3 linked regions of the Arabidopsis thaliana genome follow. The protein of the gene in region 1 interacts with the protein of each later gene in a biochemical or structural test. Each region holds a gene or a part of one and is shown in the gene's direction. Other genes may lie near its edges. The genes, in order: OST1, ABI1 and ABI2.

Evidence for each region.
Region 2: the proteins of OST1 (region 1) and ABI1 form a complex in vitro, tested with the Arabidopsis thaliana proteins (5 studies listed by BioGRID, with this or other methods).
Region 3: of the proteins of OST1 (region 1) and ABI2, one has a biochemical effect on the other in vitro, tested with the Arabidopsis thaliana proteins (4 studies listed by BioGRID, with this or other methods).

The regions. Positions count from the first base shown.
Region 1 is NC_003075.7:16,270,005-16,273,837, forward strand, and holds the start of OST1 (Protein kinase superfamily protein), read left to right. Parts: upstream 1-1,740; 5' UTR 1,741-2,359; coding exon 2,360-2,530; intron 2,531-2,841; coding exon 2,842-2,916; intron 2,917-3,011; coding exon 3,012-3,113; intron 3,114-3,197; coding exon 3,198-3,251; intron 3,252-3,335; coding exon 3,336-3,428; intron 3,429-3,497; coding exon 3,498-3,590; intron 3,591-3,833. Other genes in the region: AT4G33945 (ARM repeat superfamily protein), read left to right, coding at 114-292, 387-510.
Region 2 is NC_003075.7:13,220,247-13,224,079, reverse strand, and holds the start of ABI1 (Protein phosphatase 2C family protein), read left to right. Parts: upstream 1-1,703; 5' UTR 1,704-2,251; coding exon 2,252-2,800; intron 2,801-2,870; coding exon 2,871-3,161; intron 3,162-3,292; coding exon 3,293-3,398; intron 3,399-3,490; coding exon 3,491-3,833. UniProt on the Arabidopsis thaliana protein: Key component and repressor of the abscisic acid (ABA) signaling pathway that regulates numerous ABA responses, such as stomatal closure, osmotic water permeability of the plasma membrane (Pos), drought-induced resistance and rhizogenesis, response to glucose, high light stress, seed germination and inhibition of vegetative growth.
Region 3 is NC_003076.8:23,085,384-23,088,983, forward strand, and holds the start of ABI2 (Protein phosphatase 2C family protein), read left to right. Parts: upstream 1-1,738; 5' UTR 1,739-2,336; coding exon 2,337-2,849; intron 2,850-2,931; coding exon 2,932-3,228; intron 3,229-3,374; coding exon 3,375-3,480; coding exon of another isoform or gene 3,481-3,503; exon of another isoform or gene 3,504-3,564; coding exon 3,565-3,600. UniProt on the Arabidopsis thaliana protein: Repressor of the abscisic acid (ABA) signaling pathway that regulates numerous ABA responses, such as stomatal closure, osmotic water permeability of the plasma membrane (Pos), high light stress, response to glucose, seed germination and inhibition of vegetative growth.

The DNA.
Region 1 (3,833 bases):
TGGCAGTTTTCCACTAGATAGAACGTAATGTCGTGTGAAGAATGTTTCTTGTAGCATTAGGGTCTGAGTGCATAATCCTTGTGGTTGATCCAAGATATACTTGATTGGTTCAGGTGATGTTGATAATCTCTATAATCTGTCTGAGATCACCAGACCACGCAGCCAAGGCTATAGAAGCTGGAGCTGGTGATCTAGCGGTCCAAGCAATGAAGAGGTTCCCAGTAGCTGCTCAAATGCAGAGAAACGCTTGCAACATGATACGGAACATTGCTGTCAGAAGTGCAGAGAACAGGTTTTTGCTCTGTTTCCAATTCTTGTCATCCAACAATATGCACATATCGCAAACTCTTTTATAATATCAAGTTCTGTCTGCATGCACACTACAGAACTATTCTGCTTGCTAATGGAATCGAGAAGCTGATAAGAACTGCTAAAGCCAACAATGAGACATGCAGAGCCGCTGCAACTGATGCACTGAGAGACCTTGGCCTTGATAACTACAATAACTAAGGTCAATCTTTCTCCATTGGTTGGTACTCGCAACAACCGGAATGAATCCAGTTTTTTTTTTCAAAAATTTCATAAACAGTTTGCATTGAGTTCTCTCTTTTGGGTAGAAGGCATTCCGATCTAGTCTTTTTTGCAACGATTGCTTTTGTTCGAATGCTTGAACATGTAGTAAAATTGAAAGGAATTGATTGAAAATTTCGGTGAAAGGTACTCTAAATAGTAAAAAAGTAAATAGAGAAACAGAGGCTTCACAATGAGAAATTTTCATTCATTCACTAAAATCATTCGTTTAGTCAATGAATTTCCTTTATTTAGAAGAAATCGATTTTAGTTTGAAACAAGGACAAAATGTTTGTTTGACTAAAGGGAAGAGAAACAAAGACAAAATGTTCACGTCCATGGAATGATCGAGCTCTAGAAGAGTGTATTGGGAATATTAAGTACGGATATATGTTTTTAAAAGATGATTAAAAAAAAAGTTTGCAGCAAAATCGTCATGTGGATGCGCATAAACAAAAACTTTAGATAGTAAAAATGATGGGCTATAGTGATGATGAGTGCAACTCTATCGGTTTCAGCTTTTAGGTGAAGATCTGACAAGCTAGCCAACAATATCTCGACATTTGTGGTAACTTGTTTTTCTTTTATTTTCCGTTTTTAAATGCGGAAACCCTTTTTATATACCGAAATAGAAAGTAAATCTTTTTAGTGGTCATTAATACATGGAGGTTCCCATGATTAGCCATAAGCTTGTTTAATGCGAGTATATGTTTCATCAGCTCCGTTTCAGGACATATTTAAGGGGCAAAATTAATCCAGTAGCCAAAAATGTACATATGTAAGGGACATATTACGATATTAATATATAGATCCACTAACAGAAAAACTAATTGTTAATTTAAATTATTTCTATTTCATTTTTCACTGTGTTTGATTAAATTAAATTGGGATATAAAATCAATTCAAAATCTGTTATTTTAAATCTCATACCATTCTAGTGCTATATTTTTGAAAACTTAGATATTTTTAGTAACTGTTCTAGGCATAAATTTAATCAATTAATATTTTCATATTTTTTGCTATACTATTTACAATAAGACATATAATAAATCGGAAAAAATTAATGCATAATATTATGGAGAGATAAAACTTACTGAAAAATAAAGAGTAACAAATCACATAGTTTATACTAATACTTTGCCAATAAAAAGAAAGTTTATACTAATTAAAATATTATTTTCTATACTAGTCACGGTAAAAAAAAACATTTCTAAAAACTACAGGCCCCATTGTTTGTCAGAACGTTGTAAGTAGAAAGGGTAAATCCGTCATTTCAAACTATCTCCCATGCTTTGACAAATCACAATTCAACAGTTCACAGAAAAAGCGAAAACTTCTTCTATCTCTCTCATCTTTCTGTTTTGTATAGCTTACTTCAAGCTGTGGTTTAAACAGAACAGAGAAAGCTGTTTCCTTTTTATATTGACAGAGAAAAGGAAAGCTGATAGAGAGAGAGACAGAGAGAGAGAAACAGAGTTCAAGATCACGAGCCTTCCTTCTTCTTCTTCTTCTTCATCGAGAGCGATCAAAGGAACAAAAAGGATCTCAAGAAACCCACTTGTGTTGTTGGTTAGATACTTCACGGGTCTCTGAAAACGTCTCTTTCTCACAACCATAACTTGATCACCCAATACTCCTTTTCTCATCTTAAAGGCTCAAATTCATCCACGTCACACCGTTGTTCATTTCCTCTGATGTCTTGGTGTCGTTAGATATTGTCTCCCAAAAAAGAAATCTTCTTGACACAGAGATTGAAGTCGCAAAGAGACAGAGGAAAGAGGGGGAGAAAATGGATCGACCAGCAGTGAGTGGTCCAATGGATTTGCCGATTATGCACGATAGTGATAGGTATGAACTCGTCAAGGATATTGGCTCCGGTAATTTTGGAGTTGCGAGATTGATGAGAGACAAGCAAAGTAATGAGCTTGTTGCTGTTAAATATATCGAGAGAGGTGAGAAGGTCAGTTTATTTTCTTCTTGTTTTTTCTCCTTAGTCCAATTTTATTTTATGTTTCAATTCACTAGGTTCTTGAATTCAAAAGAAATCATTTTTGTGTGTTCATCATCCAATGAGAGATGTGTGTTTGGTTACTTTATGGTTATGAATGGTTTAACCCTATAGATTTACAAAATTGATTGATTTTTATGGAAGACCAAATTTGCTCTGCTTTGCTTTATGACTTATGTTGTATAGTGTTGTTTTAAAGGCTCTAGGTGTTTCTTTTGTTATGGAACGTGGTATTAATGGTGGGACTTTTTGTATTTGTACAGATAGATGAAAATGTAAAAAGGGAGATAATCAACCACAGGTCCTTAAGACATCCCAATATCGTTAGATTCAAAGAGGTTTGTTTTCAACTCTCTTTTAAGCTGTTTTCTTATTATTAACATTTTCAGGAAAAAAAAGGAATTCTATAATTTAATCCTTAGGATTGCTTCAGGTTATATTAACACCAACCCATTTAGCCATTGTTATGGAATATGCATCTGGAGGAGAACTTTTCGAGCGAATCTGCAATGCAGGCCGCTTCAGCGAAGACGAGGTTGTTCTCTCTTTTTTTTCTTGCTTTGATGATTAATCGAAGATTCAAAATGCTGAGGCTAATATATCGTTTACTATCATGTAGGCGAGGTTTTTCTTCCAGCAACTCATTTCAGGAGTTAGTTACTGTCATGCTATGGTAATGAAAAATGCTCTCTATCAAATCAATGCTTCATCCTCTGTGAAATTCAGCTGACTTAAGAAGTTAAATTTTATGTTGTAGCAAGTATGTCACCGAGACTTAAAGCTCGAGAATACGTTATTAGATGGTAGCCCGGCCCCTCGTCTAAAGATATGTGATTTCGGATATTCTAAGGTATCTTTGAAAACATTTCAGAAACTCTGAGTTAGTTAGTATCTCTAAGCTTTGTGTTTTCTTTTTCAGTCATCAGTGTTACATTCGCAACCAAAATCAACTGTTGGAACTCCTGCTTACATCGCTCCTGAGGTTTTACTAAAGAAAGAATATGATGGAAAGGTACTCCATTTTCATAGTTCCCAAACTAGTATGATAACCATATCTTATAGAAAGAACAATCTTTGTATTTTTATCCTCTGATTATAGATAGGGGAAACATGCTTTCTCTTGATGAAAGCTCACACAAATAAAACAATCTTGGCTCTTCAAGAATTTTGGTGAAGAAAGCTATTAAGAGTCTGATTTGTAAACTGATAATTCTTGAGTTTTGGTTGAATTAGTCAAATGCATCCTAATGTTCTT
Region 2 (3,833 bases), 3.0 Mb from region 1:
TTCAATTAATCACACATTAAACAAAATAAATTACTAGTGTTCATATTTGTCTCGGCTTTCTTCTCAGTTTATCTAAAAGAAATAGCTTTCAATAAAAAATCAATGTTTTTTCTACTTTTGTAATAATTTGTAAAAAAAAAACGGTAGATGATTGGTACATTGTATTTGAGGTGTCTTGGGTATTTTGTCTCTTGCCCATCATCCAAAGCCCACTTTCACACATCTCCCATATGAATAACATATCATTACACATTGTCCAAAGAAAACCGCACAAGTGGCATCAAACATATGGAACATGAATAAATACTTCTTTTTTATCTATCTGTTGACGAATAAATATTTATTGAGATATTAGAGAAAATAGAATAATAATGAGGAGAGGAAAAAAGAGAGTTTAAAGACAAGATATTTACGGAATTTAATGGGACGAAAGAAAAATAATATAAAAGGGGGACCTGTCTTTGTCAGTGCAATGAACCTTTTTTTCTTTCGATCAAATCTCTCCCGCCACCCAACTAACACATCTTAAACCGTACACGTCACCCTCTCTCCTTCCCATTTTCTTCGTCTACGTGTCGACCATCCACCGGTTTTTGTTTTCTGCTAAACGTGGGACCTATTCACATTTTTATTTTATTTTAAAAAATTGGACGGATTCTTTCATGTTCTTTGGGTCGTTGCATAATTATGTCCATGAGTCTATCCATCAAAATACCTTCGGAATCATCTTTTTATTTTATATATATACTGCGACAACAATAATTTTATGTTTTGTACTGTCTTTTCTGGTCAATAAAAAAAACTAAAAATTTGGTCGAATTTAATGGACTTCCATGACCAACTCTTCATTTCCCTTAAGGATAAATTGAGAAGAAAATTATATACTGGAATTTGAAAAAGCTTTATATAATTGTAACGTATTTTTATAATTGCACGACAAATCTCTTTTCTTGATTTTTTGTATGAAACTACAAAGACCAATTTTTCTAACAACTAAGATTCAGTTATTATTTTTGGTCACATAAATAAATGAGACGATAACTTCATAATGGTTTTGGTTTTGAGTTTGACCAAAAATGGTTTTCAAGATAAATAATTAGATGAATAATGAAACGTACCCCTTAAATAACAATTATTTAGATATTTTACCGGTGGTCTTTCATTTTTCCCGAATATAAAACATTGAATTCTTATCTAAAGGACAAAGTATTGTTCTTATTCTGAAAATGACACAAATTTAAAATTTTTATTTAAATCTATGAATATCTAAATGGTATATTATGTTTGGTGTTTTTTAGTCCAATGATTAGGAATTACGAATAATGTTTTCGTAATTCAAACTCTATTTATTTAGATTGAAAACTATATGACAAATAAAATAATTGCAAAACAATACAAGATTTAACTCGGACTACGACACGTCATTTAATGAAAGTCATCTTTATGAAAATATAAAATCCATTAAACTGATGACCTAACTAAAGTTAAAAGCAAACATATTTTATTTTGTTTGACAAACAAAAAAGAAATATATTTCTCCCAAAGAAAAAAAAAACCAAAAAACTTTATGTTTGTTAAAAAAATAAGAAATGATAAAAGCATTTTTTTTAAAAAAAATGTTGAATATAGGAAGTCTGAAGCAAGTGTCTTTTTATGAATTAAATAGTTTAAAATTTCAAGAACGAAACATCTCCCCTTATTACAAAAAATAAATAAGCCAAAAAAAGTATCACTTTAATAATGTAATAAAATAAAGTGATATGTATATAAGTATACATACATAAATAGTAGATTCGAAGCAATTGTTGCATTAGCCTACCCATTTCCTCCTTCTTTCTCTCTTCTATCTGTGAACAAGGCACATTAGAACTCTTCTTTTCAACTTTTTTAGGTGTATATAGATGAATCTAGAAATAGTTTTATAGTTGGAAATTAATTGAAGAGAGAGAGATATTACTACACCAATCTTTTCAAGAGGTCCTAACGAATTACCCACAATCCAGGAAACCCTTATTGAAATTCAATTCATTTCTTTCTTTCTGTGTTTGTGATTTTCCCGGGAAATATTTTTGGGTATATGTCTCTCTGTTTTTGCTTTCCTTTTTCATAGGAGTCATGTGTTTCTTCTTGTCTTCCTAGCTTCTTCTAATAAAGTCCTTCTCTTGTGAAAATCTCTCGAATTTTCATTTTTGTTCCATTGGAGCTATCTTATAGATCACAACCAGAGAAAAAGATCAAATCTTTACCGTTAATGGAGGAAGTATCTCCGGCGATCGCAGGTCCTTTCAGGCCATTCTCCGAAACCCAGATGGATTTCACCGGGATCAGATTGGGTAAAGGTTACTGCAATAACCAATACTCAAATCAAGATTCCGAGAACGGAGATCTAATGGTTTCGTTACCGGAGACTTCATCATGCTCTGTTTCTGGGTCACATGGTTCTGAATCTAGGAAAGTTTTGATTTCTCGGATCAATTCTCCTAATTTAAACATGAAGGAATCAGCAGCTGCTGATATAGTCGTCGTTGATATCTCCGCCGGAGATGAGATCAACGGCTCAGATATTACTAGCGAGAAGAAGATGATCAGCAGAACAGAGAGTAGGAGTTTGTTTGAATTCAAGAGTGTGCCTTTGTATGGTTTTACTTCGATTTGTGGAAGAAGACCTGAGATGGAAGATGCTGTTTCGACTATACCAAGATTCCTTCAATCTTCCTCTGGTTCGATGTTAGATGGTCGGTTTGATCCTCAATCCGCCGCTCATTTCTTCGGTGTTTACGACGGCCATGGCGGTTCTCAGGTAAAAGATTGGATCTTTTGATTAGGGTTGTTTACAGTTTGCAGAATCTGATTTGGTTGTTGTTGTGTAGGTAGCGAACTATTGTAGAGAGAGGATGCATTTGGCTTTGGCGGAGGAGATAGCTAAGGAGAAACCGATGCTCTGCGATGGTGATACGTGGCTGGAGAAGTGGAAGAAAGCTCTTTTCAACTCGTTCCTGAGAGTTGACTCGGAGATTGAGTCAGTTGCGCCGGAGACGGTTGGGTCAACGTCGGTGGTTGCCGTTGTTTTCCCGTCTCACATCTTCGTCGCTAACTGCGGTGACTCTAGAGCCGTTCTTTGCCGCGGCAAAACTGCACTTCCATTATCCGTTGACCATAAAGTAAGCATATATAGACTCAAGATCTATAGTTGGATTGGTTGTGAACTTGTGATAGGTTTTTAGTTTTCAAGATGTTGAGTTAGAGAGGTTTATGAAACCATTTCTGATGTGTGCTTGTGTTATGTGTGTAGCCGGATAGAGAAGATGAAGCTGCGAGGATTGAAGCCGCAGGAGGGAAAGTGATTCAGTGGAATGGAGCTCGTGTTTTCGGTGTTCTCGCCATGTCGAGATCCATTGGTAAGCTTTCATTATATTTCTCCATAAAGCTTCTCAATGGTTCTTGAAATAGAAGAAACCTTTCTTCTTACAAACATTTATCATTGTGACAGGCGATAGATACTTGAAACCATCCATCATTCCTGATCCGGAAGTGACGGCTGTGAAGAGAGTAAAAGAAGATGATTGTCTGATTTTGGCGAGTGACGGGGTTTGGGATGTAATGACGGATGAAGAAGCGTGTGAGATGGCAAGGAAGCGGATTCTCTTGTGGCACAAGAAAAACGCGGTGGCTGGGGATGCATCGTTGCTCGCGGATGAGCGGAGAAAGGAAGGGAAAGATCCTGCGGCGATGTCCGCGGCTGAGTATTTGTCAAAGCTGGCGATACAGAGAGGAAGCAAAGACAACATAAGTGTGGTGGTGGTTGATTTGAAGCCTCGGAGGAAACTCAAGAG
Region 3 (3,600 bases), on another chromosome or scaffold:
CGATGGGCCTAGCCCAGTCCAATAGGTGATTCACGTCTCACTATTTTTGCAGCTTCACAAAAATGGTAAGTTGGTAACTTACTATTTCGAGCGAAAATAACTCAGTAATAACTTCCAGATTCGTCAAATTTCTCTTACCTTGTAATGAAGTTTAGATGTTTTAGCTTTATGTATAAAAATTTAAGAATATGGTCTAATTTTATATAATTTTCTTATTATCATTTTGTATTTGATATCATATTGACAAAATTTAACAAATAGATATTAGTTGTACTTCTATGTGACCGCCACTTTATTCAATACTACCTTTTAAGTTTTAACAGATCCGTGTAGCAACTGATCATCTCAAAATATGTGACACATAGTATACTATACAATATGAGCTGGTTTTGTTTTTTATTTTATATCGAAAGATATTTTACTTTATCTGACAGCTGCGAGAGATCCTAAAAAAAATGAATTAACTTTAAAGAAATTGCATGCGTCTATCTATCTACGTATATCTCAAAAATAAAAATAAAATCAAGGTCACATGACTCATATCCAGTGAATAAAAAATATTCATGAAATCGTAAATAAATAAATAAAAACAGAAATTCATATATACGTTTTTAGTTATATAACTATACGATTGGTTCAGTGTATTTGTTGCCCAACCAAAGCTACTTTCACTTCACATATCATTACATGGTCCAATGATTATGGAACACGTATTATTATTTTTGTTTAAAAACAAGTAAATAAATAAAACAGACACCAAATAAAAAAGGAAACACAAAGATATTTACGGAAGTTAAAAGAGAGGTGTTGTCTATGTCAGTGCAATGAACCTCTTCGGCTCATCTTTTCCCGCCATCCCAACTAACAGATCTCTCACCGTACACGCCATCCTCTTCACCAAATCTAATGACTTTCTCTCTGTCTACGTGGCGATCATCCGGTCTGTTTTCCGACAATAATGGGACCCATTTGATTGTTATTTCGAAAATGATTTTATTTTTCTTCAATATTGTTTTTTTCTTCAATATTGTTTTGGAAGTAAAAAGAATCATCTGTTGACAACACAACACTTCTTGCCTTCTCGAGTTTGATTCTCCTCCTTTCTGTTTTTGGTATCCACCCGATTGTCATTATTTTATTTTGAACTCTAGAACCAAAAATATCAGAGCAAGCTCTCTAGTCAGTAAATTTTGTAATTATTATAGTACCTCATTTTTATTAGTAGCATTAATGTACTAGTGTGGTCAGTGTAGATGAATATATTTTCTACTAAACTAATAAAAATTGTATCATAATTTGTATATTTTTTGGTGTTTTCATCTTTTACTATAAAATATATTTTTGTGACATATGGCATGTTACACTAAACAAAAAATAAAATAAAAGAAATTTGTTTTTGTATAAAATAAGTAAATTACGTTTTTTGTCGACCAATTTTGATTAAAGCTCAAAAGAAAAGAGCAATTCCTAAGAGATATTATTTTTATGTGAAATAAGTAAATTACTCATTATGTAAAAAGTTTGGATTTATCTTAAATCTAATTTCATAACGTTTAATGCAAGATATTTTGGTAAAATAGGAAACGTATAAAACATCTGTATTCAAAACTTCTATAAAGATACCCAATAATAATGGAGGGGTGACACGATAGTAAATAGAATAAGAAATAAAATTTAATCAAGTCAAAATAAAATAAATACCCTTTGTTTTTGTTTCCACAATTCCTTAAGTCTTTCTAATTACTTTGTTGTTCACTAAAACATCTCACATTGTGCTATTTTTTTTAATAAATAAAGACCTCTCTCTTTAAAACTGATTATCCCCTAAACTATTTGTTTGTGAGAAAGAAAGAGAAAAAAAAGTTTTTTTGGTTGGAAATTAATTGAGGGAGAGAGAGAGTTCAGAATCTCTAAATGGCTGAAACGAATTGCCCAGAATCCAGGAAACTCTGATTTTAGTCCTTTTTTCCTCGGGAAAACGTTTGCTTTTTCTTTTTTGTGTGTGTTTGGTTCTTTAATTGACAAATCTCTCTCTATCTGTTTCATGTGCTAGCTAAGGTTGTCTTCACTTTCCTCTAATGAGTCATGAGTTTCTTGTCTTCATCTTCATCTAATAAAGTTAACAACACTCTCATCAATTTTTATTATGTTCAAATCTGTCTGACTTTTCGTTCTTTTCTCTTACACCCAAGCGTTTTAACAATCTAACATCTGTCTCTTTGAATACTTAGATATCCAACTTCAATTTCTCTCCTTTCTCTTCCCAACTTTGATTCCTGATTTGGGTTTTTGTTAAAGTTCAAGAAAGTTCTTTTTTCTTTTTTTTTCCTCCTTTAATGGACGAAGTTTCTCCTGCAGTCGCTGTTCCATTCAGACCATTCACTGACCCTCACGCCGGACTTAGAGGCTATTGCAACGGTGAATCTAGGGTTACTTTACCGGAAAGTTCTTGTTCTGGCGACGGAGCTATGAAAGATTCTTCCTTTGAGATCAATACAAGACAAGATTCATTGACATCATCATCATCTGCTATGGCAGGTGTGGATATCTCCGCCGGAGATGAAATCAACGGTTCAGATGAGTTTGATCCGAGATCGATGAATCAGAGTGAGAAGAAAGTACTTAGTAGAACAGAGAGTAGAAGTCTGTTTGAGTTCAAGTGTGTTCCTTTATATGGAGTGACTTCGATTTGTGGTAGACGACCAGAGATGGAAGATTCTGTCTCAACGATTCCTAGATTCCTTCAAGTTTCTTCTAGTTCGTTGCTTGATGGTCGAGTCACTAATGGATTTAATCCTCACTTGAGTGCTCATTTCTTTGGTGTTTACGATGGCCATGGCGGTTCTCAGGTAATGAATCGATTTGGTTTCGATATGATATGATCGGAAACTGCAAAAACTTGGTTTTTGACATTTGTTTTTGTGTGTTTAGGTAGCGAATTATTGTCGTGAGAGGATGCATCTGGCTTTGACGGAGGAGATAGTGAAGGAGAAACCGGAGTTTTGTGACGGTGACACGTGGCAAGAGAAGTGGAAGAAGGCTTTGTTCAACTCTTTTATGAGAGTTGACTCGGAGATTGAAACTGTGGCTCATGCTCCGGAAACTGTTGGGTCTACCTCGGTGGTTGCGGTTGTCTTTCCGACTCACATCTTTGTCGCGAATTGCGGCGACTCTAGGGCGGTTTTGTGTCGCGGCAAAACGCCACTCGCGTTGTCGGTTGATCACAAAGTAAGTATAGATGTTTCTATGAATGAATTAGTACAATCATATATTCATTAGGACTTGCGGTTTTTTGTTATGGTGTTACCAATCATAGCATGTTTCTATAGATTAGTTAATGTACTTATAGCGTTTGGGTCTACATTTATGTGTAGCCGGATAGGGATGATGAAGCGGCGAGGATAGAAGCTGCCGGTGGGAAAGTAATCCGGTGGAACGGGGCTCGTGTATTTGGTGTTCTCGCAATGTCAAGATCCATTGGTAATTATTTAACTTTCTCTTGATAATGATCCATGAATTTGGTTCTTTTAGTTGTTTCCTTACATTACAACCCGTCGCGAACAGGCGATAGATACCTTAAACCGTCAGTAATTCCGGATC